Linked DNA regions of Canis lupus familiaris. Each later gene encodes a partner of the first gene's protein in a complex. Links are inferred from orthologs where the notes say so. Each region holds a gene or a part of one and is shown on either strand. Other genes may lie near its edges. The genes, in order: CASP8, RIPK1 and ZBP1.

Evidence for each region.
Region 2: CASP8 (region 1) and RIPK1 share a complex: the UniProt entries of both Homo sapiens proteins name them as parts of the AIM2 PANoptosome complex. The link is inferred for Canis lupus familiaris from reciprocal best matches to the Homo sapiens genes CASP8 and RIPK1.
Region 3: CASP8 (region 1) and ZBP1 share a complex: the UniProt entries of both Homo sapiens proteins name them as parts of the AIM2 PANoptosome complex. The link is inferred for Canis lupus familiaris from reciprocal best matches to the Homo sapiens genes CASP8 and ZBP1.

What each region holds. Positions count from the first base shown.
Region 1 is NC_049258.1:10,243,689-10,253,918, forward strand, and holds the start of CASP8 (caspase-8), read left to right. Parts: upstream 1-5,085; 5' UTR 5,086-5,093; coding exon 5,094-5,398; intron 5,399-7,943; coding exon 7,944-8,049; intron 8,050-9,058; coding exon 9,059-9,197; intron 9,198-9,299; coding exon 9,300-9,344; intron 9,345-9,721; coding exon 9,722-9,807; intron 9,808-10,230. UniProt on the Homo sapiens protein: Thiol protease that plays a key role in programmed cell death by acting as a molecular switch for apoptosis, necroptosis and pyroptosis, and is required to prevent tissue damage during embryonic development and adulthood.
Region 2 is NC_049256.1:4,682,941-4,693,070, forward strand, and holds part of RIPK1 (receptor-interacting serine/threonine-protein kinase 1), read left to right. Parts: intron 1-71; coding exon 72-148; intron 149-3,546; coding exon 3,547-3,643; intron 3,644-4,518; coding exon 4,519-5,085; intron 5,086-6,302; coding exon 6,303-6,446; intron 6,447-7,982; exon of another isoform or gene 7,983-8,192; coding exon of another isoform or gene 8,193-8,447; intron 8,448-9,037; coding exon 9,038-9,324; 3' UTR 9,325-10,130. Other genes in the region: uncharacterized protein LOC100687285, read right to left, coding at 8,193-8,447. UniProt on the Homo sapiens protein: Serine-threonine kinase which is a key regulator of TNF-mediated apoptosis, necroptosis and inflammatory pathways.
Region 3 is NC_049245.1:43,327,019-43,337,148, reverse strand, and holds part of ZBP1 (Z-DNA-binding protein 1), read left to right. Parts: intron 1-2,585; coding exon 2,586-2,807; intron 2,808-3,410; coding exon 3,411-3,476; intron 3,477-3,882; coding exon 3,883-4,056; exon of another isoform or gene 4,057-4,523; intron 4,524-5,201; coding exon 5,202-5,366; intron 5,367-6,125; exon of another isoform or gene 6,126-6,434; coding exon 6,435-6,635; exon of another isoform or gene 6,636-7,563; coding exon 7,564-7,785; exon of another isoform or gene 7,786-7,891; intron 7,892-10,130.

The DNA.
Region 1 (10,230 bases):
CTCTAGATCCTCTCTGAAGCAGCCGCTGAAGCAGCTGCCTGTGTATTGGTTCTATTCAAAGATCTGTGAATACACAAATCCATGCACCACTTATTAGATCACACAAATCCAATCATGACGATCTTCCTATGCTTTTTAAATATATCAGTAAAGTTTCTTTGAACTTCTCATACTGATAAACAGTTGTTTCTGCCCTTTTGTTCTTTCAAGCAATGCTGCCATGAAAAGCTGTGTACATGTTTTTAAGTACATGGCGCTTAACCTAATGTAGCAAAAACTCCTGGAAGTCAAATTGTGGGGTCATTTTATATTTTAACCCACAAGGCCAAATTACCCAACTGCCTGTTTTTATTTCCACCACCTCAAAACACTGTATTGCAAGTTTTGTACTTCACCAATCTGATAGTTGGAAAATGGTCTTTTGTAATTTCAAGTTGCTTAAATTTTTTTTTTTTTTTTTTGTGAATGAGGTTGAATATCTTTTCAAATCTTTAAAAGCCATTGGTTTCAAGAAATAAAGCCACTGGTACTTAACTTTTCTCTGAACTGTGTGCTTATGATCTTTACCTGTTTATGCATTGGATTATTGGTCTTTATCTCTTTCAAAAAAAATTAACTTACAAGAGTCTTATTTTAAGAAAATCAGTCCTTTTTCTACTTTTTCCTAGTCCAAGATTTATTTATTTTTAATGTTTGTTTGGCTTATTTTTGCAGAATATTTTAGTATTATTTAAGGGCATTTATGAACCTTTCTGTAATGGCTTCCAGGTTTTCTGTTGTACTTAGAAAGATTCTTTACCACAGCATGATTACTTTAAACAATTCTCCAATATTTCTTTCTTTAGTATTTTAATTTTTCAGGTTTGAATCTCTGATCCATCTGCAGCTTATTTTAACGCAGAGTTCAGTTATGATCCATTGCAGTTTGTTCTAGAAGTTTGCCCAATTGTTCTAACATGATGTGTTGAAAAATGAGGATAGCTCTTTTTTGCAGTGCATTCAGTTTGACTATTTTTCATTGCTAACTTCTAATTACACATTAGTTTCTAATTTCACTGTTAAATTCTTTTTTTTTTTTTTTTCACTGTTAAATTCTAAAGGAGAATATGGACTGGTACTATTTCTGTTGTTTGGAAATCTTGTATTAAGATTTTCTTTGTGGACAACTTTTGTGACTACTTGGTATGTGTTTGAAAGGACAAGTATTTGCTACTGGGAGGAAATTCTGTTAGAGTTTGTCACTTGTGCCACTTCGATCTTTCAGTTTTCTACTCGGTCTACTAGATTTTTTATTTTCGAAGAAAGGCGTGTGGAAGTTTCCTGTTATTTTCAGGGCAGATAGGTTTTCTGAGTTCTCTTAAATTCTTTTTTAAAGTTTAAATTCTTCTAATACTTTATTTTCTTTGAAGAACACAAATGTGGGGGCGCCCAGGTAGCTCATTCGGCTAAGTGACCGACTCTTGATACCAGCTCAGGTCTTGATCTCAGGGTTGTGAGTTCCACATTCGGCTACACACTGGGTGCCGGGCATGGAGCCTACTTAAAAAACAAAACAAAACAACACAAACAGTGTTGTGTTGCTTCTCTGATTTGGTTTCTTTTCCTGGTTGATGTGCCTGTGGTGTGTCATTTCCTGTTCCTCCTTCACTCACTCTCTTACACTAACCTTAAACCCAAGAACAAACTGATGTATTTTAACAGTAGTTTCATTTACACAGAGAATATCTGCATACATCCTTCTTACCATATTACAGGGAAAGGGCAACTCTCTTTCCTCACTCCTTTACCCCCTGGTTCTAGTTTTCTCCTTTATTCCTCGGAAGAAACTTTTGAATTTGGTATGTCTCTTCCCAGAACCTTGTTACCTTTTTATTTTCTGCTTTTGCATATGTATCTGCAACCACTGAAAATCTCGTATTGCTTTGAGTAATTTTTAAAAATAAACATATTTTAAAAAAATATTGTAATGTGGGGGTCCCTGGGTGGCTCAGTGGTTTAGCGCCTGCCTTTGGCCCAGGGTGCGATCCTGGAGTCCCGGGATCGAGTCCCATGTGGGCTCCTGCATGGAGCCTGCTTCTCCCTCCTCCTCCTCTCTCTCTCTCTCTCATAAATAAATAAATCTTAAAAAAAAATATTGTAATGACTTTTTCTACTTTTTTTTTTTTACTGTCATAATAACACATCTTGGATAGCTATCATTTTTATTTCAGAAGATGGAGTGGATTTTCTTAACTGCTGCACAATATTCTGTAGTACGACTATACCTTAGTTTATTTATTTTTAATAATTTTTTTTTTTTTTTTTTTTTTTTTTACGATAGTCACACAGGGAGAGAGAGAGAGGCAGAGACACAGGCAGAGGGAGGAGCAGGCTCCATGCACCGGGAGCCCGATGTGGGATTCGATCCCGGGTCTCCAGGATCGCGCCCTGGGCCAAAGACAGGCGCTAAACCGCTGCGCCACCCAGGGATCCCGACTATACCTTAGTTTAATCAGCCATTTCTATATTGACGGACATTTGGGATGTTTCCAGTTGTTCAGGGTTGCACATTGTGTGGTGACAGTCCATGCGCATAGTCTGTTTAGTACATGTGTGTTTCTATGAAATGTGATTTAAGGAATGAACCTGCTAGTTTGCCCCCTTTGATGTCCAGTAGGTTTTGCTTGCTACATTTTGAACATATGCCGTTAGGTGATAGCCACATATTTAAGATGCCTTTTCTAAATAAAAGTATTTTCATGATAATTGGTTGCTTTTGTGAAAGATGTAGGCTCTACAGCCTTTGAGAACCCCATACAAAGTGTATCTTTCAAGATATTTCCTTCTAGTTTCCTAAAGCAAGAAAACGTGTCTAAACAATGATGTATGCTCTAGATTAAAAGGGGAAAAAAAGGTTTTGTTCCATAATTTGGCTTCTAAGAGGGAAATAATCAGAGATATGCAAAGGATATGTGAAAAAGCTTCTCAATATTATATTATTTTTAAGAGTAAAGGAATTAAAAATCCCTTAAAATAAATTTTGCTATATTTGCATGCTGGAGATCAAGAAATATTAAAAATGTCCCAAAGAATATTTAATGGTAGGGGTAAATGTTTGTTCTAAATATTAAGTGGGGAAAAATAGGTGTACACAGCTGGATATGCAGCCTGATTCTAATTTTTATATGAATGCATCTTTGCATGCACATGCATGTGTGTGTGGTGTATGATAATGATAACTGAGACCATGTTATGATTTACTGTATTTTCAATTTTCATACACACAAAAAAACACTGCTTCTATAATCAGAGTGGGCAAGGGAGAGGGAAGGTGTTTTTTTGTTTGTCTTTTTAAAAGGTTTTATTTATTTATTCATGAGAGACACAGAGGCAGAAATAAAGGCAGAGGGAAAAGCAAGCTCTCTGTGGGGAGCTCAATGCAGGACTCCATCCCAGGACCCCCAGATCTTGTCCTGAGCCACAGGCAGATGCTCAACCACTGAGTCACCCAGGTGCCCAGGAAGGTGTTTTAAAAGGGAAAACTACAAATTTTAAAGTCTTTCAGGGTACTTTTTGAAAATATTAAAATTTAACCTTTATGTGCAAATCAAAAATATTTCTATTTATTTATTTATTTATTTACTTACTTATTTGTTTGTTTAGAGAGATAGAGCCATGTGTGCAGGGGAGGGTCGGGGTGGGGAGGGACAGAGGGAGAGGGAGAGAGAATCTTAAGCAGGCTCCACTTCCAGCACGGAGTTTGACGCAGGGCTCAGTCTTGTGACCCTGAGATCATCACCTCAGCTGAAATCAAGAGTCAAACTCTTAACTGACTGAGCCAACCGGGTGCCCCTCAAATATTTCTATTTTAACATTGGATATAGAAAATACATAAGTCCTGGTTCACTTGATCATTACCTCAAGTAATAGAATCAGGACTTGTGTTTTCATCCAAAAAATGTTAGCCAGTGCAGGGAACTGCCTCTAGAGTCAGGTGATCCTGAGGCCTTTGGGGTATAGCACTGCGGCGTGTCTTCCCAGCACCATTGTTTCAGTCAGATCCCATTCTTTCTCTGGCCTCTAGTCCTTTTGGCCTATCCTCCACACATATTTTTAAATTTTAATTTAAATTTTTTAAAAAATATTTTACTTATTTGAGAGAGAGAGAGCAGGGAGAGGGAGAGCGAGTGAGCACGTGTGCGGTGGGGAGGAGCTGAGGGAGAGGGAGAAACAGGCTCCATGCTGGGCAGGAAGCCTGATGGGGGGCTCTACCCCAGACCCTGAGGTCATGACCTGAGCGACAGGCAGATGCTCAACTGACTGAGTCACCCAGGCATCCACTTTTTTTTTTAAAGGGGTTTATGTATTTATTTGAGAGAGCCAGGTCACACAAGAGAGAGCATGAGTGGGGGGAGAGGCAGAAGGAACTGGAGAAGCAGGCTTCCTGCTGAGCAGGGAGACAGACCAGGACCCCAGGATCATGACCTGAGTGGAAGGCAGATGCTTAACCCACTGAGCCACCAGGCGCCCCTGTCCTCCACACTTTTCATGTTAATCCCAAACTGGATGACATTACGGTCCTTTCTGAGTTCCCCATCACCTCTAGGGTAAAGCCTGAGCCTTTGCCCTACAGCATGAGGCCCTTTGTAATGGTTCCTGGCCACAGCTTCATCCCTATTGCCACCACTTCCCCTCCCAGACACTCATGGTTACTTTGTTGGGCAAATTGTGCCTGCCTGAGTTGACTTGAACATTCTCGCCTCCATCTTCCACATACATTTTTTCCCACCTCCTTCCCACAGGTGCCTGCCATCCAGGAGGCCCTTTCCCCTGGCTATATTCCTACTGTGCCCTGGTTAACTCTCGAACCATTGGCTAATTTGTATATCTACCTTCCAAAATAGTGAGCTACTCAAGAGCAGAAACCTGTCCTATTTGTTTAGTTTTTTGTTTTGTTTCTTCCCTGTGTCCTCAGTAAGACATCTGGTGTGTAGTAGAGATAACAGCACTTGATGAAGGAATAGACCAGTAAATGGTACTTCTCTTCCTCATCTGAACATAATATTGTGTTTTGACCTAGGTTAACAACTACCTCGTCCTGACACTTGACCAACATGGATTTCAGCAAATGCCTCTACAATATTGGGGAACAGCTGGACAGTGACGAACTGGCCTCCCTCAAATTCCTGAGCTTGGACTACATCCCACAGAAGAAGCAGGAGCCCATCAAGGATCCCTTGATGTTATTCCAGAGACTCCAGGAAAAGAGAATGTTGGAGGAAAGCAACCTGTTCTTTTTGAAGGAGCTGCTTTTCCGAATTAATAGACTGGATCTGCTGATGACCTACCTGGACACCAGCAAGGAAGACATGCAGCAGGAGCTTCAGATACCAGGCAGAGCCCAGATCTCTGCCTACAGGTGGGGAGGATCTCCACGGTTCAGGCACTGGGAGGCGTGGGTGCAGTGGATGCGTGTCTGTGGGCAGGGCTGCTTGCGGCTGTCTGTGTGGTATGACTTTGGAAGTTCCTTGAAGATGTCCCACCAGGGCCAGATAGAGAAATTTAGAGAACTTGTATATAATTCAGTAAAAAAGTGAAGGCAGAAAATTAAAAAAAAAAAAAAAGTGTTTCCAAAGTGCAACGTTACCTGTAGGTGTGCTAAAATTAGAACAGTCGTCTGCTGGATGTTCTCTCTGTCTACCCTTCTGTTGCCTCTGCTCGGTTGATGTCTACATCGCGCGCTTACTTTGCTTATTTCTGGATGAAGCATCGCCCCTGCTTACCTGAAATCCCCCTCCACCTGCTTGTGGATGACTATGGAAACGCTCAGTGGGGTTTTAGGTTTTTATTTCACACTGAAAAACTTGCATCACAGTGTCCTCCAGAGAGAGGGATGTGCGGCCAGTATCCTGGACCAGCCAGGCTGTACCCCACAAGGACTGCCGAGTCCCTGGGGGCCCAGCTGCTGCCAGGAGAATGGTGGTAACTTCAGTCATCTGTCCTGCCCAACACCTTGCAGCTGGGTCTCTCCCTGCCTGTGGGATAGCGGGTACCCAGGGGTGATAACAAGCCATGTTCTGTTACGTTTTTATGAATTGGTAACAGATTTCTTTGTGTGTGTGTGTGTGTGTGTGTGTGCAAAAAGGTGATTTTATTAAAATATGGGCAGAAGGGGCTGCATGGGGTGAGTGATCATATATATAGGTAATAGACTTTAAAAACAGAAACACACTACCAACTTCTGTCTTTTAACATGCCCTGTTATCAGATACTCCCTAAAGTTATTTTTAGCTTCCCTTCTGAAAACTTCTACTCAAGCCTTAGCTGTGGCCCATTTCACCGGTCTCTTCTTTCTTGTCAATAATGATGGCATGTGTGTGACAGTAAGTCCTCACAGCCAGGGCTGTGAAAGCCACTATCCTCTACTTTTGTGGCCTATTTTTAAAAAAGATTTTATTTATTTATTCATGAGAGACAGAGAGAGAGAGAGAGAGAGAGAGAGAGGCAGAGACACAGGCAGAGGGAGAAGCAGGCTCCATGCAGGGAGCCCGATGTGGGACTCCATCCTGGGTCTCCAGGATCAGGCCCTGGGCTGAAGGCAGCGCCAAACTGCTGAGCCACCCAGGCTACCCTAGCGTGGCCTATTTGTGAATATAAATGTCTCTACCATGTTAAGCTGCCCAGTTTGTGGGACATTGTTACGGCAGCCTTAGGAAACTCATACACCCAGGACATCTCTTTTGCCACTTAAAATCAAAATTCTCAAGAAGCTCTAAGTAGAGAAACATATGATAAGGAACATGCCAAATCTTGGGTCTCTGAGACTATGGGCCAGGACATTCACGAATGTTTTTGTGTTGTTATTTTCCTTTACATAATAGTGGAAGGTTTGCTAACTTATTGAACTTTCCTTTGCTCCTTCAACAAATGTATCTCAAGAACTTATCATAGATGAAAAAATAATAATGCCTGTTGTGTATTGAACACTTAGCGTGTTGCCAGTTGGCTTCAACACGTCAGATAAACTTGTTCGTATTATTCTTAATATGTCCCAGTGGTATATAGTATTATCTACAAGTTTACAGATGAGGGAAAAGAGCGCATAACACGTCCAAAGTCACACGGCTCTGAGATGATGGAACCAGAGTTCCGAAATCAGTAGTCTAGGCCCCCTGCACTTACATACTTCACCTCGTGACCCCCTGGGCTTATGGAAACAAAAAGGGCACGAACCCTCCTCTCAAGGGGCTCAGAGGGCTTCCAAAGCAGACAATTACAACATGTATGTAAACTTTCTGGGGATACAAGGCACCGTGGGGTGAATGCATTCTCAAGCATACTCGGGCGGGACTCAAGCTTAGTGGGTGACTCTGTGTCTGCGGATGGACAAGGGAATGGGGATGTGAAAGCATAGATAAAGGTGGGGACAGGACAGCTGGGTGTGTTTGGGGGGTGGAGGGGGACTGGTGGTGAGGAGTCGCTAGAGAAGCTGAGGGGGTAGGCTGGACTCGCTGCACAGAGGTCTGTATTCCGGAACTGAGTGTTGAGCCTTCCTGTGGAAGTTGACAGCTAGGAGAGCGCTAACAAGTTTTAATCAAGGAAGTGATGATCCAGTTTGCATGTTGAAAAGCATAATTTCCAAAATAAAACTTTCATTTTTTTCTACTGCAATAAGTGACTTTATAGTGGAGGACCAAGGAAAAACAAAATTCATCTCACTGAAATTAACTGTGTGGCATAGTCAGTGGAACTGCAAATTCTGTTAAGGGTGGAGCATTGGGGCATGAGTCAGTAGTCTGTTATGTCCCTGCAGCAGCCTCTTTCCAAAGATTCAACTCATAAAGTATGTCATTAGCTGTCTTTAAGGAGTGGTGACCAGAATCAAGTTTCCACTGCAACTCCTTTTGTCAAATGGGAAATTATCTGAGAAGCCATTTCTAAAGTGTCTCCATTTCCCACCACAGGGTCATGCTTTTTCAGATTTCAGAAGATGTAAGCAAATTGGAATTGAAATCCTTTAAGTTTCTCTTGAGCCGGGAGATCTCCAGATGTAAATTGGATGATGATTTGGTAAGCCCTGGTGATGTTTCACCAAGATCTGGTCCTGAGGTTGGGCCAGTCAGTGGGGACTGCTGCGACTGGAGAGAGGGCTGGTCCAGTAAAAGCAACCTGGACTCTCACTTTTTAACTAGGGGAAAGGAAAATGTTGTTGGGCCCCAGTGTTGCAGATACAATTCCTTTGTATACTGTGAAGTACTGCTCACATTAATTATCAGGAGCAGGGCAGAGTCAGTAGCTCGGAAAGAAGACTGGTGGTGGAAGCATAGCCCAATGTGGGGAAGGACTGTGGTGAGCTGGAGACATCTTCCCACTTCTGCAGTCTCTGAAACCACCTGGGACCTGAAACTCTGTATATGTGCATGTGCGTGTGCATGCATGTGTGTACGTGTGTGTGTGTGTGAGTGTGTGTGTGTGAACGTGGGACTGGAGGTGGATCAGGGACCAGAGGCAGTGTCAGGAGAGACGCAGCTCCCAGGGCTGTCACTATGGGGACCAGGCTACCTTGTCTCAGCCATGCACCTCAAGCTGTTTCACAACTTCACCTAATGGTGTCCATGGCTGATTTCAGCACAGGGCTTGGGGCCTGGGTGACACCTGATGTCACTTTTCCTCTACCTTCTCATTTCTGTCTTCTTGGGCCATACAACACAGAATTGCTTCACTAGTGCTCTACTGGCTTTATAAGACTGGGATGTCCTGTCAGGAGGGTTAGTTTGGGAAACTAGAGTAGGCCCTCTGTTTGGAGAAAGTGGAATGAATGAATGAATGAAAGAAAGAAAGAAAGAAAGAAAGAGAGAGAGAGAGAGAGAGAAAGAAAGAAAGAAAGAAAGAAAGAAAGAAAGAAAGAAAGAAAGAAAGAGAGAGAAAGAAAGAAAGAAAGAAAAAGAAAGAAAGAAAGAAGAAAGAAAGAAAGAAAGAAAGAAAGAAAGAAAGAAAGAAAGAAAGAAAGAAAGAAAATCTAATCTAAAAACCAGTATGTCTCAATCCAGTCTTCCAACTTTACTTCTCTTCCTTCTAGAACTTGCTTGATATTTTCATAGAGATGGAGAAGAGGGTCATTCTAGGGGAAAGAAATTTGGACACCCTGAAAAGAATCTGTGACCAAATCAACAAAAGCCTGCTGAAGAAAATCACAGATTACGAAGAATTAAACAGAGGTAGAAATAACTTGACTACTGTGAATTAGCAAAATGTATTCTTAAATTGACAGATCCCTCTGTCACAATTATTTCTAATCAAATGTTTCTTTTTTAATTCAGAGCAAACAATGAACCTTCAAAGAAGTCTAGATGAAATTTCAAATGGTAATATGAAATATGTTAAGACTTATTCAGTTAATTTATTATCAGATACCCCCATTGCTTCCTCTCCCCACAACCTTCTATCACGTCCACATCTTAATGGACGTGATACCTACTACCAAGTAGGCGGCTTGGTGCCTACTTGTCACTCTCTACATGTTGAAAGATACACAACTATTGTCAAAAGACATAGGCCTTCAGCCCCAGGCTGACAAGTTTAAAATAGGTGAAGAGTTAGTAAAACAATTTTTATTCTGTGGACTGCAAGGATATTATGTTCAAGGTAGTCCATGAATTTTCATTTTAAAGGGGACCTTATGGTATCCTTGGTGCTATGTGTTTCTTTACCAAAATACCCTCCCTTCTATGTCTCATTCCAGATATGTCTCAGTTGCCTATAAGGGAGGGATCCGTGAAGATATTGCCAATGTCGGACTCTCTAGGAGAACAGGACTATGAATCAGAGGTGTGTAGAAATTCAGACTCCTTTTTCTCTTTGGATTGCAGATTCTAGTTCTTGTATTCCTTAGCTTTCAAGTTTCCAGATAAACTAGTAAGAGGCAGATGCTTCCTGGAAATTTTGAGAAGTATAGAAAATTTTCACAAACAGACAAATTTAACATGTGATTTTCTTAAGTTTTAAAAGTAACAAGCATTAAAATTTTATTTTAAATCCAAAGACAAAGGCATTGGAATAGTTGGAGGGCTGAGGAATCGAGAAGCCTCCTGGCAACCCTTTCAGCATCTGCCCTGCTGAAGCGGGAGAAGGCTTTGGGAGAAAAGTGTAGTGGGACTGGGAAAAGCAAAGCCTTTTCTTTTAGGGTGACATTTCAAAACTGTTTCTCTGTGCTGATTTAGGGGTAAGCAACAAATACTCATGATCTAGCCG
Region 2 (10,130 bases), on another chromosome or scaffold:
GATTACTGGTTATTTAAATTTTAGTTTAGAAAATACCTAAGAAATTTAAAGTACTATTTTTTTTTACATAGGCATTGAAGAAAAATTTAGGCCTTTTTATGAAGATCAATTAGAAGAAAATGTAGAAGAAGATGTGACAAGTTTAAAAGTAGGTAACATAGCAGGTACTCAAAACATTAACATATCAAAGCATATGTATTACCAGTTTTGAAAACCAAAGCAATATAATTTGTTACTAAGATTTGAGGTAAGCTAGCTTGGTAACCACATGAAACAAAATTAGCAATTCTATACAGATAACCATCAAGTTGGCACACTGGACCCATTCCTCCATCAAAACTAATGAAATGAGAGAAATTATATATATAGCAATGTGGAAACAAAAGCACAACCTCACTGGAGTAGAACGGAAAGTACCATAGGAGGATCAGTCATTTTGAGGAATTCTTGGAAGCCAACAGAATTTTATTTCCTAAGACCTATAACAGAAAAAGAAAATGCTAACCCAAAACATAATGCTGAAGGAGTACTGGAGGAACAAGTCTATGTCCATTTGTAGAAGAAACAGCATAGTCAGCTGGGGCATTGGTGTAAGACTGTCACTTGGGAACCATGCTTGTGCCAGTTACAAAAGTTGGCTCCTCCCTCTGAGTCCCTTGTGCTGTGCAACACATGGGAGCAGCATCTTCCTCAACCTGAAACAGTGAATTTGGTCTGGGGACTAGAAGTATATCAAAGGTTATTACCAGCCAAGTAGCCAAGACAAACAAAGACCTTCCCTACACACACACTTAGGAAACAAGCTGCTGGCACAAGTACAGCAACATGCTGCTAGATTCATGAGGGGAAGAACTACAGTCAATAAAACAGGCAGGCATATGGAGATTTCAAAATGAAGATAAAAACCGGAGAGGCGAGAATTACCAGACTTCTGAGGGATACCTATACTATAAAAGGAAAGGTATCCAATGGAAACCATGCTTGGGCATCAAAAGAACGTCAGGAAAGAGAGTCACTAGGGATAAGTCACAATAATCAGAAATATATCATAACTATAAAAAGTTCAACTCACCAGGAAGATAATAACAGCTTTAAATATGTGCATGCCCTTAATAACATGGTCTCAATATCAAAACCAAACTTGATAAAACTCAAAGGAGCAAAAGACAAATTCAGAATCATAGTTGGAGATTTTAATATACAAATTTCTCTTTAACTGACAGAACAAATAGACAAAAAAAATCAGTAAGGATATAGGAAATTTGAAGAACATGATTAACATTTGACTGAATGGAAATATAGAAAACACTGCATTTAATAACTACAATAGGCTTTTCAAGCACATACAGACATACTTTAAAATTGACTGTGTCCTGGGAAATAAAACAGTTCTCAACCAATTTTAAAAGGATTATAATCATATTAAGAATTTTCTCTGATTACATTTCAGTTATGCTAGAAATTAATCTTAAAATTTAAAACTCTCATGTGGTTAGTAAAGAAATATATTTTTAAATAGCCTGTGGATTAAAAAGGAATCACAATGGAATTTAGAAAAATTTTGAACTGAAGACTAACAAAAGCACTACATATTAAAACAAAATGCAAATGTGACTAAGAAAAAAACTTAAAGGAAATACCAAAATGTTAATTTTGTCCTTGGAGTGAAGGCAGAATGTGTAGGTTTTAAATATAATTCTGTACATTTTCTATATTTTCAATAATGAGTGGTATCACTTTTATAGCAAAAAAGAGTTTCTTTTTCCTTTTTTTTTATTTTGGTAAAATACACATAACATAAAATTTACCATCTTACCTTTTCTTTTTTTTAAAAGATTTATTTATTTTAGAGAGAGAGCGTACATGCATATGTGCATGGGGGAAGGGGGGAAAGGGGGAGAGAGAGAGAGAGTCTTAAGCCGACTCCAGGCTGACTGCAGAGCCTGACACTGGGCTCCATCTCATGACCCAGAGATCACGACCTGAGCCAATACCAGGAGTCTTATGCTTAAGCAACTGCACCCCTCAGCTGCCCCACCATCTTACCCATCTTTCAGTGTAGAATTCAGTAGCATTAAGTACACTCACAGTGCTGTACAAACATCACTTAGTGTCCATTTCCATTTTTAAATATTCCAAACAGAAACTCTGTGCCCATTAAACAACTGTTCCCCATTCCTCTTCCCAGTTCCTGGTAACGTGTAATTCCACTTTCTATGAATTTGCCTCTTTAGGTACCTTGCAGACGTGGGGATCAAACAATATTCATTTTTTTGTGTCTGCCATATTTCACTCAGCATAATGTTTTATAGGTTCATCCATGTTAACATGTTTTAAGAGCTTCGTTCCTTTTTAAGGCTGAGTAATTCTCCATTTTCTGTGTATATCACAGTTTGATTATTAATTCAACTGTGATGGATACTGAGTTGTTTCCACCTTTTATCTGTGAACATTGATGTACAATTTTTTTTGAGCTCCTCCTTTCAATTCTTTTGGGTATATACACGAGTGTAATTGCTACATTGTATGATGATACTATGTTAAATTTTGAGGAACCATCAAATTGTTTTCCATAAGGGTCCTACCATTTTACATTTCTGGGTTCCAATTTCTCTACATTCTCACCAGCATTTTTCATTCTCAGGGTTTTGTTTGTTTTGTTTTTTAAATGATAGCCATCTAGAGTGTGAAGTCGTGTGAAGTAATGTATAACTCATGGTGGTTTTGAAGGATATTTTCCCAATGATGTTGAGCACTTTTTCATGTACCATTTGTATATTTTCTTTAGAGAAATGGCCCTTTGGCCATTTTTGAATTGAGTTGTTTGTGCCTTATCGTTGAATTATGCAAATTCTTTATATAATCTGGATAGTCATCTCTTATCAGAGATATGATTTGCCAGTATTTTTTTCCTATTCTCTGGGTTATCTTTTCACTCTCTTAATAGCGTCCTTTGATGCACAGAGGCTTTAATTTAGATGTACTCCAATTTATTTATTTTTATTTTGTTACCTGTGTTATTGGTGTCATGTCTAAGAAATTACTATCAAATTGAATGTCGTGAATCTTTCCCCCTATGTTTTCTTCTGATGTTTATATGGTTTGAGCACTTCAGCTTCAGTGTTTGGGTCCATGTGAGTTAATTTTTGTATATAATAAAAGTAAGGGTCCAACTTCATTCTTTTAGGTTTGTATCCAGTGTTCCCCCATTGCATGGTTTGGCACCCTTGTTGAAAATCAGTTCACCATATAAGGGTTTATTTCTGGATTCTCTACCTTTCATTGGTCTATGCCTGTCCTTAGAGCAATACCACACTGTTTTGATTACTGTAATCTTGTAGTGAGTTTTGAAATCAAGAAGTGTGAACCCTCCAAATTTATTCTTCTTTTTCAGGATTGTTTTGGCTATTTGGGGAAAAAAGATTTATTCCTTGTAAGAGCTATATGAAATCTCTACCTTTTGAAAAGATTTCATTTTTCTATAATAATTTTTTGGAACTATTTTCTACTGTTTACTAAAGTGTACATTTATGCTGTCAATTATAGAAAGAGTATCCAGACCCAGCCCAAAATTCAGTTGTGAAGAGAATGCAGTCTCTCCAGATTGACTGTGTAGCAACACCTCCAAGCAGGTCAAATTCAGGTAACATACTATGATTGAAAATAACGTATTCACTTGTTTGTTCGTGCATGCACTCTGTTCTCAAAAATACTCTTCATGAACATATAAGAAACAGAAGAAGCTATAAAATTTAACTCTTGCCTTAAAGGAATCTATAATATATTTAGAATGAAGATAACATATATTTGAAATAGTAAGTAACAGGGTGTTCACTAAAATCATAAAACATCCTGAACATAAGAGGCCTAACATATATCTGATAGGGAGAGTGTAAGGGCTCAGGATAAAGAGGGGACATATGTGGAAGCAAGGTCCTTGAGGTCAGGGATGATATCCAGAGAATTAGCAGAGAGGTTGGTCTTGGATTCAAGGAGGGATACTTTTTTCATTTTCACAAAAGGAAAAACAGAGTATAGGATATTGAAGCCACTTACTAGCTATCTGTTCTAGGGCAAATTAACCTCTTGTAAACCTCATCCCTCAAATCATAATATAATTGCTCCTATTCTTACAGGGCTTTTAGAGAATAAAAGAATCCATGGAGAGTGCTTAGCACCAAGCTGCTCCGGGTCTTATTTTCCAGCCCTGCACCACACCAAGGACACAGCCACCTTCTCTACTAAAGACCAGTCCCTTTCTCCCTTGGTCATTCCTGTGACACTCATGTTGCCATTGCCTGTTAACATTTCTCTAGTGCTCTCTCACCACCCTGCAGGGGCTTCCACAAATTACTTACATATTTGTAGGAAGAGGACCATCAAGTCAATGCTTTTTTTATTTGCTTGCAAAGGTTGCAGTATGTTATTCTGAGACACAGATGTGTGGCAGTGCCCAGGTTTTATTTTATTTCTTGTTGCTGTCTGAAACTCTTTCCAATGTTGATCATTTCTCCTCAGCCCCAGAACAGCCCAGTTCGCTGCACAGTTCCCAGGGACTGGGGATAGGTCCCGTGGAAGAGTCCTGGTTTGCTCCCTCCCTGGAGAACCAGCAGGATGAGAACCAGCTCAGCTTGCAGAGTAAACTCCAGGAGGAAGCCAACTACCATCTTTATGGCAGCCGCATGGACAGGCAGACGAAACCACTCAGACAGAGTGTGGCTTATAATAGAGAGGAGGAAAGGAGACGAAGGGTCTCCCATGACCCTTTTGCACAGCAGAGACCTTATGAAAACATTCAGAACCCAGGAGTAAAAGGCCTTCCTTATTCTATTGCAACCAGTCCTGGTAATGCAGTACACCAGCCAAAGGGGCTAACCAGCCAACCCCCAGTAAGGTACTGGAACAATGAATTGTACAGTCCATTCAATTTTAGAACAAGACCACTGGCTCTGGGAACAACAGGTTCAAGAGTCTGGTATCAGCCAAATCCAAGCCATATCCCAAGCGTGAATAAAACTCCAGTGCCGGAGACCAACCTACTGGGGAACACGCCCACCATTCCATTCAGCTCCTTCCCATCAAGAGGTAAACAGTTCTTTTTAGCTATAATCTTTTTTAAATGTTTCTGAAAATAAAGCAGCTATTAGCTCTGATGTAGACTCTAAGGTTACAAGGGTGAGTTGTTTATAGTCTTCAGCTGCCACATGCCGTTTGCAGCCATGGACTAGTCTCCATCAGAGCACTTGGCTTTGGTTTGAGTAGGATTCATTGCAGCTACCCACAGGTGTTGGGTTACAGGTCCTTGTAACCAGTGGGTATCTTCTGCTTTAATCTGCATCACAGTGGTCCCATTATACCCAATCGCTGATGGGTTTGTGTTCTTTTACTTGCTTGCTGTTTTCTGAAGGTAAGAAAGAAGTCTTGGATATTTTAATTCTTATCTTATATCGGCCAAAGACTGCATTGGTGAGGAAACCATAGTGTTGGGCTACCATCACCACCATTTATCTCTGGAACTCTTTTCATCTTCCCAAACTGACACTCTGTACTCATCAGACACTAACTCCCCATTCCCCTACCCCCAGCCCCTGGCAACCACCATTCTTTCTGTCTCTATGAATTTGACTGCTATAGGGTACTTGATATATGTGGAATCATACAGTCTTTGTCCTTTTGTGACTGGCTTATTTCACTGAACACAATGTCCTCAAGGTTTGCCAATATTGTAGCATGTGTCAGGATTTCCTTCCTTTTTTTTAAGGCTGAATAATATTCCATTGTCCGTACATAACACATTTTGTGTATCTGTTCATCTGTTGGTGGACCCTGAGTGACTTCCACCTTTTGGATGTTGTGGATAATGCTGCTGTAAACATGGCTATATAAATATCTGTTTGGGGCCTTGCTTTCAGTTCCTTTGAGTAAATACCCATAAATGGAATTGCTACATCTTAGAGTAAGTCTATTTTTAATTTTTGAGGGAAGTCTATTTTTAATTTTTGAGGGATCTCCATATCATTTATCACACCATTTTGTATTACCGCCAGCAGCACACCTTGGTTTCAGTTCATCCACATCCTTGCCAACACTGTTACTTTTTTTTTTTTTTTTTTTATAGTAGCCATTTTGGTGGATGTAAGGTTAGTTCAGCTACATTTTGAAGAGGAAAATTTCAAAGACTGTCATAGGATAAATAATTTAACTTCTATATCTAGAATAAAGCCCTGTCCTTTTACCATGTTGTATTTATTTCTCTTGCTTTCAACCTAGATTTACTTACCTGTGTGTTTCACTCTATTCAGATGAGTCTGTAAAATGTACCATATACAACAGTTCTGGCATTCAGGTTGGAGAGCATAATTATATGGAGGTTGGTGGAATGAGTTCAGCCCTGCTCGACATGAACGTGAAAGAAGAGCCAGCTTATAAGTACCAAGATATCTTTGGTAAGATGCCCTTTAAGGACACATTTTCTAGCAACCTTGAACTTTATTGCTTAGAGGGATATAGTGGAATCCTGAAATTTCTCTGATTTATTCTCCCTGACAGTTGACCCATGTTTTCTCTGTAAAATATCTCTGTAACTTCGATATAATCCGTTGTGATTTATTAATGCTTAATATGGGGATAATTACAATATCTAACTCATGGATTTGTTGTGAAAATTATCATCAATATGTATAAAGAGTGTAGAACACTGCCTGGCATGTAGTTAAGATCTGTGAAAGTACTGAACATATCATCAATATCACTATTCAGACCTAGGAGAGGTATCTCCCTCAGGTCTTCATCAAAAGTGATTCTGAAAAAATAGAAGACTATGCCCTCAACAGCACCCCTGTAATAAAAACAAGAGAGCTTTCTCTTATGGGCTTTTAACTGTGCAGGCTCAAAACATTAATCCCAAAACACAACCTGGGAATCATAGTCATGAGGCCAAATCAATGGGATTTAAGAGCCCAGCTTTATGTTTAACTCTAGGATTGGCAAAATGTTTCTATCAAGGGCCAGATAGAAATTATTTTAGGCTTCACTGGCCCTGAGATCTCTGTTGCAACTACCTGACATTGTAGTGCAATAGCAGCCACAGACAAGATGTACATGAATGGACATGGCTGTGTTCCAATAAAACTTCACTTAACAAAACGAGGCAGCAGGCCAGATTTGACCCACAGGCCATAGTTTGCCAATCCCTGGCCTAATCCATTTGAAAAATAGTCTTTAACATTCTTAGAGAGGAGGTTCCTAACTTTTGGGGTGACAAAAGTACCTTGGAGGATCTGATGAAACCCAGGGTCCCTCTCCCAGAGGAACTCACAAAACTAGGCTAATATCTTGGAAGGTTTTTGGACTGCTGATGTCCTTTGGTGATAACAGAAGCTGCATTGTGGGGAGCTAAGGAGAGGATGGGAGTTGAGGGGGGGGGCAGAAATGAGATGTCTTTTTCCTTATATTCAGCTTATTGAGGTAGGTTGAAGATCAAGGAAAATGTGTGTGGTGGTGATGGTAGTTTTATACTTTAGTTTACTTTTGTTATTTTTTTTAAAAAAGATTTTATTTGGGAATCCCTGGGTGGCTCAGCGGTTTAGCGCCTGCCTTCAGCCCAGGGTGTGATCCTGGAGTATCGGGATCGAGTCTCACGTCGGACTCCCTGCATGGGGCCTGCTTCTCCCTCTGCCTGTGTCTCTGCCTCTCTTTCTGTCTCTCTCATGAATAAATAAAATCTTTAGGAAAAAAAAAAAAGATTTTATTTGAGAGAGAGCACCTGAGCAGGGGGAGGGGCAGACATGCAGTCTCCCCGTCAAGACCAGAGCCAAAGGCAGATGCTTAGCAGAGCCACACAGGCGTCCCCTAGCCGTACTTTAAATACTTGGATGTCAAGGGCCATTTCTATCACTGCAGAAAGTTCTATCAGACAGTGCTATGTGAGATCTGACAGGAGGGGGATTTCAGTACTTCACAAATCAGAACACAACAGCAGCTCAGCTGAAAGGTGTCGCATTTATTACTGAACCAGCCTACTGGTATAGAGGCATAGGAACAGACAAGAACGTTTCCTTAATAAGACATGTCTATTGGCCAGGTAGGAAGGGTGTTTCCATATTGACAGGATAGGAACATGTGATCTCCATGCAGCTTAAATATGTGTGCCAATTATATTTGCTATTTCATGATGTGCGATGGATGCTTCCTCATAGACCCAGCTTGGTTCTTCTCCAGTGCCTCCTCTTGGAGTTGTACCTGATTTTATTACCAGTTTTCATCCGAATCCACTGGGGAATGGGACGATTCTGCTTTTGTTTCTTGGCCAGGAATCGCTTGATTCTGAAAGTCTTGTGAGAAGACATGGCGGTAACAGTCAACCACACGCAACCAGGATAGCGGCTCCTTTTGTTATTTTTATGAAGGCCAGAGAGGAAGGAACCAGTTAGAAAGGGAGGCTGTGGCTGTAAGAGAAGAGAAGACGGCACTTAGAGGAGAGTTGAGTCCCAAAATAGACCTGGAAAAGTAGATACCTCATTCTTTAAAAGACAAGGGAAGGCATTATAATTGCAGGAGTTCACACTTGATGGCCTCAGTTTCCCTAAGTAAGAGGAAAGTAGACCATTGGGTGCAGGGGATGAGGAGTTGAATGACCCTGATTCTGGCCAGGTATGTAGATGATGCCAAAAGGAACAAAAATAGTATTTTCCCTCTTTGTATCAGGAAGGTCTGAAATTAACCAGGGCCATTGGCTAAGGTCATAGAGGACAGCCTAGAAGCCAAGCAGAGCTTGTATTCCCAAAGCCACCAGCTGTGGCTCAGAGATGCATCTGCTAGGAGGTAGAGGTTCTCTGCTGTATTCATATACACACTGCACATGGGCTTCCAGACATGTAAAGGATCCCCTAAGGAATGAGTCCACAACTATGTAATGAAGTTTTTTTTGTTGTTGTTGTTGTTTTACCGTCTCCTGATACTGTCTCTACAGGTTTTTAAAACTAGAATGTTCAAATGAGTTATAGTTTGATGCCTTCTTATCTTTTCTGTTTGGCAGATAATGTCACTAGTCTGACTGATAAACATCTGGACCCAGTCAGGGAAAATCTGGGAAAGCAATGGAAAAACTGTGCCCGCAAACTGGGCTTCACTGAACCTCAGATTGATGAAATTGACCACGACTATGAGCGAGATGGACTCAAAGAAAAGGTTTACCAGATGCTCCAAAAGTGGCTGATGAGGGAAGGCAATAAAGGGGCCACGGTTGGAAAGCTGGCCTATGCGCTCTACCAGTGCTCAAGAATAGACCTTTTGAACTATTTGATACACATCAGCCAGAACTAACTCGAGAAGGGGCTTGGGCAGCATGGGGTATTCTCCTCGCGTAGTGAGTAAGTCACCCACTGAAAGCGCGCTGCCTCTGATCCTTCAGAATTCTTCCCTCACTAATACAGGTTCTGGGTCTGCATAAAAATCTCCTGCATTCCGTAGGTGGAGAATGGGAAAGAAGCCTACAGCAAACCGCCTACTAACCAGGAAGACCTATTAATGTCTGAGGCCAAGTCCAAAAAGAAGCCTAACTGGGTTTTGAAGGGGAGAGAGATATTTGAGGAAGATCATTTTCTTTCAGTTCGTTCCTCAGCGTTCACTGATGCCATTCATTTAACTTACTGGAGTTTTGCTAGAGTAAGAAAAAAATTCAGAGGACATAAACTAAGTCAACTTTCTTATTTTACGCTCTCTTCACGAGTACAGTGAAATTTTAAGTTCTCTTCAAATAGGGTTTTTTTTTTTTGTTTTTTGTTTTGTATTCTAACCATGGTTTGCTCTGAAACTATAATGTCTGTTAACTTCAGTATCAAATGTTGTGTCAGTCACTACAGGCTTCAAAAATTACATGCAGTCTCCACTCCAAAAAAATTAACTAACTGGAGGAATTTTAAGGAATACTAAGATGGAAAAAAAAAATAGAGAACAAAAATACTAGAATTTTCCAGGCGGTTGTTACAAGGAATTGTTACTAACTGTGGTGATGACAGAAATTCTTGATGAAGTTTTTAAGTTTTTTCCTAGCATTCTGATACTTTATGTACTTTCCCAACCTCTGTGCCCTGCAGAGGGAGCATGGATGCAGGGAATTTTGATCTCTT
Region 3 (10,130 bases), on another chromosome or scaffold:
TCCTTTCCTGGGCTAGCTGACAGCAGTGATGGCCTGCGGGGTCCCCAAGAGGGGCCCCGAGAGTAGAGGGGAGCCCAGGGCCTGGTGGGGAAGGCAGGCTCTGCCTGGGCACCTGCCAACACCCTCTGCACGCCTTTTAGAAGACCTTGGCGGGCAGCAGGGGGGACACACGTGATGCTGTTTCCATTTTATACATGAGATTCCTCAGGCCCTGCGAGGGGGACCCGGGGCCTCGCAGCTGATGCTGGGGTCCGAACACCTGTCCTCACACTCATTTTAAGAAATAAGAGAAGCTGCTTTGCTTCACTCCCGGACGAATAACCCATAAAAGTGAGCCGTGTATGGGGCCAGGGCTGTGTATTCTAGAGAGCCTGTGGGCTGTGGGCCACATGTGTGGGCTGTGGGTTGACGATGGCTCTGATTTGGGGATTTTTGGTTTTGCTATCACTAGCTGGTTTACTACTCACTATAATCTTTGAGATAGCTGCTCCGATCCCCACTTCACAGATGGAAAAAGTGTGGCACGGAGAGGTCACATAGCCGGTGGATGGCAAGGGCGGGGGCTCAAACCCAGGAGAGGTGCCGTCAGAGGACAGAAAATAAGTCAAGGGGTGGCCTGGGGAGGGGTGCCATCGGGGTGCGCCCAGGGCCTGGGCAGTTTCCCCGGTTTCTCTTCTGCTTCTCCAAGGGGGAGGTGCAAGTACTTGTTGCTCAGTGCCTGAATTTAACTTCTCCCTCTGAGGTTTTCCTCTCCAACCTGTCACTTACACGTCGTCCAGTTTACAACTTCCCATTTACAGACGCATCAGCCTGAAGACTCGGCGCGCGAGGCCAGCCAGCCCTATGGGCTTGGCCCTCACTCTGGTCTCTGAGGCACGACCCCTCTGCTCCTTTGGGGTCGGTGGGGGGGGGGAATGGAGGAGGAGGGAGGGGAAGGCTCACCCGTGGGCAGGCTTTTCAAGAACCAGAACTCTTTTCAAGAGGAGGCAAGCCAGGCTTGCAGTTGATTGGATGGGGATCCCCGGCTGCTGGGGGTGAAGGAGTAGATGCCCCCAGGCGTCCTAACTGCACTTCACCTGCACCCAGCAAGGATGAACATGTCCTGATCATAGGGCAAGCCTCAGAGCCCAGCTGCAGAACCAGCAAATAAATGCCTTATCCCTTCCCCCACTAAGGGAAAACCCAGAAGGCAAAGGATCAGGCTGCTGTCCCACCAGGTGCCCCAAGTCTTCCCTAGAAGGGCCCCACTTTGCATTTCCCTCTGGGCTCTTGGGGACAGACATTTCCTGGTAAGAGGCCGGGCTGCCGGGGGGGGGGGGGGGGGGGGGCCCTCCAGCTCCTCAGGCACTGTCTGTGCCCTGTTCTCCGCTCCCCAAAGAGCTGCTGGCTTGGATTTGTGGGATCCTGTCTGATTGGAACGGAGGCGTTCAGAGAGCTCCTGGGATTCTGCTTAGGGTCATTAACCTCAGGTGGAGAATTAGAGACCTAGTTGCTGTCCACGCCCTGCCCTGGGTCGTCTGGGCTGACACCTGTCCCAGTGGTGAGCAGATCCACTCAGACACTCATTCATTCAAATGCTGTTTCCTGATCGTCTACTGTGTACCCAGCACTGAGTTAGACACCAAAGATACTACAGTGCACCAGGCAATCACAGCAGGGGAGCTTGGAGACATTCTGCAGCCCCCCCTCACACACAGGGCACCCCGATCACTCAGGGCACCTAGGATGGCTCCCCAAGAGAGATGGTGTTTGAGTGAGGTGTTGGGCAGGTGGAGGTTGAGGGTTGAGTAGGTGTTGGGCAGGTGGAGGTGGGGGGGGAGAGTGTTCCTGATGGAGGGAACAGTGTGTGCAAAGGCCCAGGAGTGAGTGGGCTGGAAGGAGCACACGGCTGGCTGGTGCTCGGAGGGAGGCTCTGGCTGCCGAGTGGAGGGTGGGCTGGAGGGATCCCGACTGCAGTCGGGGGAATAGCTGTGGTCACGGAGGTGGTGTACGGGGGGAGGCACAGAGGGGAGAAGATGGGATCCCAGAGAGCCAGGCACCATGTTCTCAGGACTCTCCATAACCCGGCAGCAGGGAGGAGGGCCTGTTTCTGAGCATCTTTAGCTTTCTGGCTTGGATGGATAGATGCACCACTGGCGTGGACGGTGAGCCCCCGAGGAGGGGCAGGTGCTGCAGGGAGGCGGGGACCACAGGCCTCCCTCGCAGCCACTTGGCCTCCTCCCTCCCTCCCTCCCTCCCTCCCTCCCCTTGCTCTCCTGCACTCAATCTACCCCACGCTGCCACCCTCCGCTCCCTTCTGCTCTGGGACATCTGAGGCCTGAGCATCCCCACCTCACCCTCAAGCGCTCACACCAGGCCGAGGATGCTCGGGAGGCTGGGGCACCTCCTCTGGTCACCAAGGTCATTTCTGACCAGCATATGTGTCCCTCCCTGGACAGCCGTGTTGTTAGCGTCTGCTCGGGTCTCTGCCCCTCCCTCTGGCCTGGACCCCTCACGCGGGGACACCTCCCTGCCTCCGAGTCCCCGCTCCAGGCTCGATCCAGGGGAGAATCAGTCCCCTCTCCGCCACTCTCTCCTCCTCCCAGACCTCGAGCAGAGGATCCTGCAGGCGCTGAGGGACGCCGGCTCCCCCATCAAGTCCATCCAGTTGGTCAAGGAATGCCAGGTGCCCAAGAAAAAACTCAACCAAGTCCTCTACCGGCTGATGAAGGAGTCGAAAGTCTCCCAGGAAGGCCCGGCGACGTGGGCCCTGGGCACCGGCAGGATGGGAAGAGTGGTGCCCGCAGAGCCGGCCCAGGCCAACCAGGGTAACCTGCTCCCCGGGGGAGGGGCGGGGCACCCAGGCGAGCAGCCCTGGCAGTGGACAAGCAGGTCCGGGCCCGGGTTCGAACATGAGCCCTGCCGCTTGAGGGTGCGTGGCATCCCCAGGCCGTGCCTCGTAGGTCTGCAGCCCAGGGCTGCAAGAGGGTGAGATGCGGAGGGCGCAGCCTCTCGCCTGCACACAGCAGGCGCTCAGCAAAGCACTAGCAATAACACTGTTGGCCAGTGCAACCTAGTGGTGACAACGGAACAGACTCGGCTTCGCACTGGGTCCTCCTTCATAGTTCTGTAGCACAGAGACCAGCAGAGCTGGCGCTTGTCAGGTGCTCCCGGTGGCCGGCGGTGCCCGCACACAACCTGGACGTAGGTAGGTGGCCCTCTTCCTCTTCCCCCGGAGACGTGAGTCCGCAGCTCAGCTGCACAGCTGGGGAGCAGCGGGGCAGGTTTGGAGGCAGGTGCGTCTACCTGTGGACTCCGAGTCCAGATCTCCCACGCGCTGGGGGCCACCATGGGGCGGCCCACCGTCACCAGCAGAGTCCCCGTACCCTCTGCCGCCCCCCATAGCCCCTGACCCATCTTTCCTCCTCCAGCAGGGAGGTGCCAGCAAGACATAGTTGCAGTTCCAGAGGAGCCCGGCCTTCAGCTCACTGACCAGCGTAAGCATCCCTGCTTTCCCCAAACTCTCCTTGGCCACTCGAGATGTTACTCTTGCCCCACCCACCGGAGGCCCCCACAAGGTGTCCAGGGGCGAGACTCAGTCTGCACAGTGGGAGAAGCTAAGTGGCTGAGAAATCCTCTCTCTGACAGTGGTTGGCATCCCTCGTGCACCCGCCGTGTGCCCAGTGCTGTTGGGAGCGCCGTACGCTCACCTTAGAACATCCTTAGAACAACCTAGTGCCTTAGAACAACCTCTGCGGGGTGCTAGTCTCACATCCCACAGTCTTCAGATGGGGAAACTGAGCACAGGGGGTCTGGGGTTGCCCAAGCTTACACAGCTAGCCAGCAGAGGAGCAGATTCAAACTCCAGGGCCCTCCCTCCTCATCCACCACCCTGCCTCCCAGAGGAAGCCATCTACAGGTTTCTGGAAGCCCATGGGCCCTGCAAGGCGCTGAACATCGCCAAGGGGGTGGGAAAGAAGATAGCGAAAGACGTCAACCGCGACTTGTATGATATGAGGAAGCAGCACAAGCTGGACTTTGATGAGAAGACAAGTACATGGGCAATTTATCAACCAGGTAGGTAGGTGCTGACCTGCTGCCCATGCTTGGATGGGGCAGGGCTACGAAGAGAAGCTGCAACATCTAACGCTTGGTCCTTGCTGGGCGCCCTGCCAGGCATTTTGCCAGCTCCACCTTCCTCTTCAGACCCTCACAGTAGCTTGCAGCGGTCTTGCTAATGGGTCACTAAAAGGGGGTACCAGGAGAGCGGGTGTGCTGGTGGGAGTAACCAAGGAGGGCTTCCTGGAGGAGTGGCCTAAGGCTGTAGTTGCAGAAGGCAAAGGGCTGGGATAAGAGGTGTTCATAGGATGCGGAGCTCAGCTGACACAAAACTGTTAGCACTTTGTCCAACTTGGAGTTTGGAAGTTGCAGGAAGAGAAGGCTGGGCTCAGACACCCGCAGGGTGGGGTCCCAGGTGACTTGTCCATCAGGCGCAGCAGGCACGGGGCCTGGCATCAGAGGTCTACAAAAATGTTCTAATTTCTCTTAAAATCAGAAGAAAAAATGAGTATTATAATAACAGTGAAGAGTTAACCGTGACTCCCACCTAGATTGCATTTGTCTTTATCCCCACAGTGTCATAAAAGGTAATTTTGAATATTTTTTTTAATGGAGGAAGGGACCCACAAAAGCACAAAAGGTGGGATGTGGCTCTGTGTGTGGAGCCGGCAAAGCCCCAGGCAGGTGCTCACCCGGCCCTTGAGATGACGCACAAGCTCACAGCGCCCAGGCGGGGCTCAGCATTGCGGGCGTGATAGCAACCTGTGACGGTGGCCAGGTTTAAACACTGGAGGAAAAAAAATCTAAATTCTTAAAAAATGCCACATGAGCCCAAACCAAGCTGCTCTGGTGGCCAGAAACAGCCCATGGACGGCCACCCTGCAGCCTCTCCCTCTGCTAAAGGAGAGGGGTCCTGGGGCTCAGTGGTTAGGGGAGGCCTCTGACCAGGGACAGAAGGTGAGCAGCAAGGCACCCAGGATCCCCCTGGGGTGGCAGAGGACACACGAGTAGGTGACCTCTGCGGTGACTTCTAAGCAGGGCTCATCTGGGCTCCTCGTTGACCCGCCTTGGACCCCCTGACTCCGCGCCCCCGTGGCGAGCACCTGTGCCTTAACAAGCTCTGCAGCAGATTTAGAGGGCTCGAGTGGAATATGATTTTGCAGATTCGAGAGGAGGAAATCGGGCCACCGCAATTATTTACCAGAAAAATCCAATCAACATGATCTGTCAGAACGGACCACATAACCACATTTCCATTGACAATTCTGAAAACATCCAGATTGGACAAGGGAACGTCATGGTGAGACAGGTGGCCTCTGGGGAGAACGGTGAGTCCCTTGACAGACACCTGCCCCCTGGAGGGGTATGTGCTCCAGCTGGGTGGGAGCAGGGAGGGGGGCACTCAAGCTCCGAGGACACAGGGCGGCTTTCAGATCCTTCCTGAGAATGAGGACGTCTTCCTTCATGCCTGGATCAAACCTCTCCTGCTTTCCCTTCACTCTGATACCTTTTGCCTCGCTTCCAATGCGACCTGATATTTTGCCTTGAGAAACAACTCAGGGTTCCCTCAGTAGAACATCTCGAGGGGTCACTGTAGTATTTTGTTTGTTCTGAGACATGCCCTTCCCCCACATTTTAACATCTTAGAAACTGGGCATAACCAGTGACATCCTAGTTTTGTCAAAATCCAGCCCCGCAAAGGGGTGCTTACTCCCTGCCAGGCACTGGGGCGGGAGGGGACAGGGGCCAGCCTTGGAGCACAAGTGACAGCACCAGCTCGAAAGCTAGAATACCCCCTGTGACCTCAGGAGAGCCCTGCCCCTCACTCCCACCCCCCACCCCCCACCCCCCACCCCTGACTCTGGGGTTCAGTTTCCCCAGCAGTGAAGCCAGGAGCTTTGTTTTAGAATCTAGATCAATGGTTCCCCATCCTTCGTCCTCTGGGTTCCACATTCCCCAATTTGGGCCGTGCCCATGTCTGATTATTTACTTAATATTATTAAACGATTTACCTTTGTATTCTACTCAGATTTATCTTAAAGTTTAGGTTACTAGCATTGTCTTAAGTTTAAAACCAGGAGGCTTACCATAAAAATAAATACCGAGAAGAGAAAAGGATGTCAAGGCTCCGAATGCTCACGGCTGAGGACTCATGCCCAAGGAGATTGGCCCTAGGGAGCAGAGGCTGTGCTCGCTGACTGGGTTTCTGGGCACCCCAGGGACATCCCAGGCACCAGTCGTAAAAACCCGGGAGACACCCCCCTCACTGTTCTGCTTCCCCATCAATAGTCTGAAACACTCATCCCCAGTCCCTTAGAGCCCACAAGGAATTCAGAGGCCTGTCTCCCAGGGGAAGTCAGAGGGCTCAGAGGTCACGTTGCCGTGTCCCCTGCCAGGCTCCATGGCTCCCCTCCCTCCCGTGATGCCAGCTGATCCCTCCACTCAGGGTTCCCCAGCTGCAGCCTGGGGACCCCAGGACATCCACTTGGAGAAGACTATGCTCAGACGGGTACAGATGGGACATGACAACATGATGAACCTCAACAGCACGCCAACCAAGGGCCCTGCCGCCTGCAGCCCCTTTGGCAGCTCCTCAGGTACCCCACCCTGCCCTCACCCCACCCCATTCATCTCCTCCCTGGGCAGAACTTGAGCTGGCCTTGGCAGGGAGAGAGGCACGATGGGAAATTCCTTTCCTTCCACCTGGAGGCTGTTACGCTGTAGAGCAGGTGGGGCTGTAGAGTCATCTCTCGGGATCCTGTGTCCTCATCTGTATGACAGGCAGGGGCCAGCCAGAGCAGGGTCAGAGGAGATGGCCAGACTGGAATGGCATCTAAGGAGGATACATCTAAGTACCTGGTGACCCACCAAGTGCTGTCGACAGTGACCAGAGAGCCCAGGCCAAGTCCTCTTCAGCACTGGGAACCCAGAGACAAGCTGGGGACAGAAAACAGCAGGGAGACCAGGGAGGCCGGGGACACCAGGAGGAAAGTTTCCAGAAAGGAGAAGCCGATGAGGTCAGGGAGCTCCATGGGGTCCAGTAAGAGGGGTCCGAGACAAGCTGGGGGGACAGAGGAGTAGGAGGAGGGGAGACTGCACAATTCTCGTCCGAAGTTTGCATGGGAAAGGAGCCAGGTGGCAGGGGCTGGGGACCGGCTATGGCTGCGCTGAGGTTTTAACCAGAGAGGGAGATGGTATTGCAGGGCTTCGGGCAAACCAGCGGCACGAAGGGAGCAGCCAGTGGCGGGGAGGTGGTGGGGAGGTGGCCGAAGCCCAGGGGAAGGGCCTGTGAAGAGGTGGCACTCAGGCTGGCTGACCTGGGTGGCAGAGAGGGCCGGCAGCCCAGGCCATGTGCAGAGATGCTGAGGGGGGCAGGGTTTTGGCCGTGGGCCGAGTCTAGCCTGGCTTCAGGGAGGAGAGTTGGCCGGGGAGAACTTGGAAGCCAGGCTGGGGGTCAAGGCTCGAGGCCACCATCCAGCTGCCCGTGCGGCCCCTCTGACATCTCTGTCTTTGGCTGCCCGACAGCCTTTGCCACCCCTGGTGACACAGAGGCTTCGTTCGAAATTCGAACACCCAAACCAGGACCTTCCTCCGAGGGGGATGTGGCCCAGAGAGTCCACATCAGTTCGTGCATCCTTGAGGACACTGCCATCGGCAACAGCAACAGAATGACTGTCAGCTCAGGGACAGATGGTCCAGGAGGAGTTGCAAGGCCTGAGGACGCTGGGGAGCCAGGCAAGGATGCAGGTGAGCCTGGGGCAAGGTGGGCCCTGTGTTCCCTCCCTTTCTCTCTCATCCACCCATCCACCCACCCGTCTACCCACCAGCTCATCCACTCACCCATTCATCTATCCATCCATCCATCCACCCACCCACCCACCCACTCACCTACTCACCCACCCGCCCATCCATCCATCCATCCATCCACCCACCCACCCGCCCACCCACCCATCCATCCACCCGCCCATCCATCCATCCACCCATCAATAGTCATTCTCGAATCTCCCATTTCCCGGAGTCTGGAAAGCAGTAGAGGATCACAGCAGAGAGCAGCCCAGGAGCTAATGTGTGGGGTCCAATGTTTTTAGCCTAGTGACCTAGTCCAGCATTTAGCTCTGAGCCTCTGTTTCCCCATCTGGGGCATGAGGATGATAATTGCCCGTAGCTCCTAGTTGTGACGAGGACTGGGTGAGCTGTGCAGGCAAAGCCTCGGCACTGTGCCTGGCCCTGCGTGTGCCTCCAGGCATCTGATGCGTCATTAACATTGGTGTTATTTGAGGCCTCATGGGAGGTGCTGAGGTGCCACAGTGAGTGAGGCTCTGTCTCAGGGAGAAACTCACTTGCTGCAGCAAAGAGACCCCTACCCAGAGTGGCTCCCACCTGCCGGAGGCGCAGCCCACATGCAAGGGGGGCAACCGTCAGGGCTGGCGGGAGGCACAGACCCGGTTTCTTCCAGCTTGGTCCTGGGCCATCCCGAGGGCTCTGCACTCACCCATGGGCAGAGAGGCTACGAGGGCCGACCGTCCCCCTTCCACCAGGCACACCCACGCTCCTCATCTCAGCCCAAGGACCTGCACTTGGCCTCAAGAGGAGCTGGGAAATGTCACTGGAGCCCAGCTCCCCCTCAGGAGGAGGCCCCATGGCCAACAGGAGGACACTGGGGGTGCAGTTAGCCACCGGGCCGCAGCTCCTGCCCTCTGGTGGTGGAGCCAGGTGACTCCAACTCTGCTGCACAGGCAGGAGCAAGGTGGTGGTGGCAGGTGGGGGCTGCATCCTGCGGGTGGACGAGTGTGTGCGACAGGGGAGACCAGGACGGTGGGTGGACAGAGTGCGAGTGTGACCCATGCGTGCTTTGAGGATGGCAGGGGCCAGAGCACGGCTCCAGCCAGGGCGGGACTTTGGCATCTATCCCAAGGCTGGCGGGGGTCGTGACCAGGACAGGGTGTGAAGGGACTTCTGCCTTCCGTGTGACGGCGGGACCGGCCCGAGGATGCAGGTCCTGACTCTCTGGGATTTGCACAAAGGAGTCATGCCAGGCCCCCTGTGGTGAGAAAACCTAGCCTGGGGACCCAGCCGGCATCCACCGGCCGCTGCCCGAAGGCCCGTGGACATTTGTGCTGGACGCCGAGTGTCCTCCCATCCTGACGGCCATGACCTTGAACTCCCAACAGCAAGAGTCCGGAGAAAGAGGGCGCCCTTTTCCCCTCTTCCCAGAAACCTCCCAGGAGGCAGGCGGGGACCCCGGGGTCATGGGCCCCACCACCTGGTCTTAGGTGGGACCAGCCAAGACTCCTCTTGAAGGGAAAGAAACACAGCCCTCTGCTTTTGAAAAATCGTCGATGCCCCCTCCCCTGTACCCACCCCCCCAGGGGCTACGCGGTGGCGCCGACGTGGCCTTTCTCACTCCGCACCCCTACCCACCCTCCTCGCTGGGCTGAGCAACACCTAACTTCTTACTCAGGTGATGGGCAGGACCCCATCCTGAGACCTGTAAGGCCCGGCAGGTTTTCCTTTTGGGGGAAATGATGGGTCAGGGTCTGTCAGCACTATACAGTGTGGCACCCTCTTCGGGGTCCCTGTGAGCTGAGGCACCTGGACAGGTGGCCCGCAGGGGTGCTGGGGGCCCTCAGCTGCCCACCTGCCCGGCTCACTGCTGAGACACCCCGATGGCACCGGGGACACGACTCTGGGGGCCTAGTGCAACACGGAAAAGTGGGGTTCCTGATTCCGCCTCATCGGAGTTTCAAGAGCGGAACAGAGCTTTGCACTGAGCGCAGGGTCCCTCTGACTGTGGGCTCAGGCCACGTGCCCGTGAAGCTGGCCCTCCTTGGGGTCTTCTGGAGCAGGACCCCTCCCCTAGCCGTACCCCCCGCCCCAGTCATTGGCCAGTTCTGGCCCCGTCCTTGCCCTGAAACACACCCTCACCTGGACATACAGCCACGAGCAAGTCGGAGAAATAGTCCAGGAAGGAGGAGGGGCAGCTCACAAAGCAATCAGGCCTTTCGAAGAGAGCCCGGCCCTGTAAAAACAAACAAAAAACCACAATAAAACCCAGGGAGGGGTGGGCAAGGAGCTGCCGTGGCGGGGCAAGG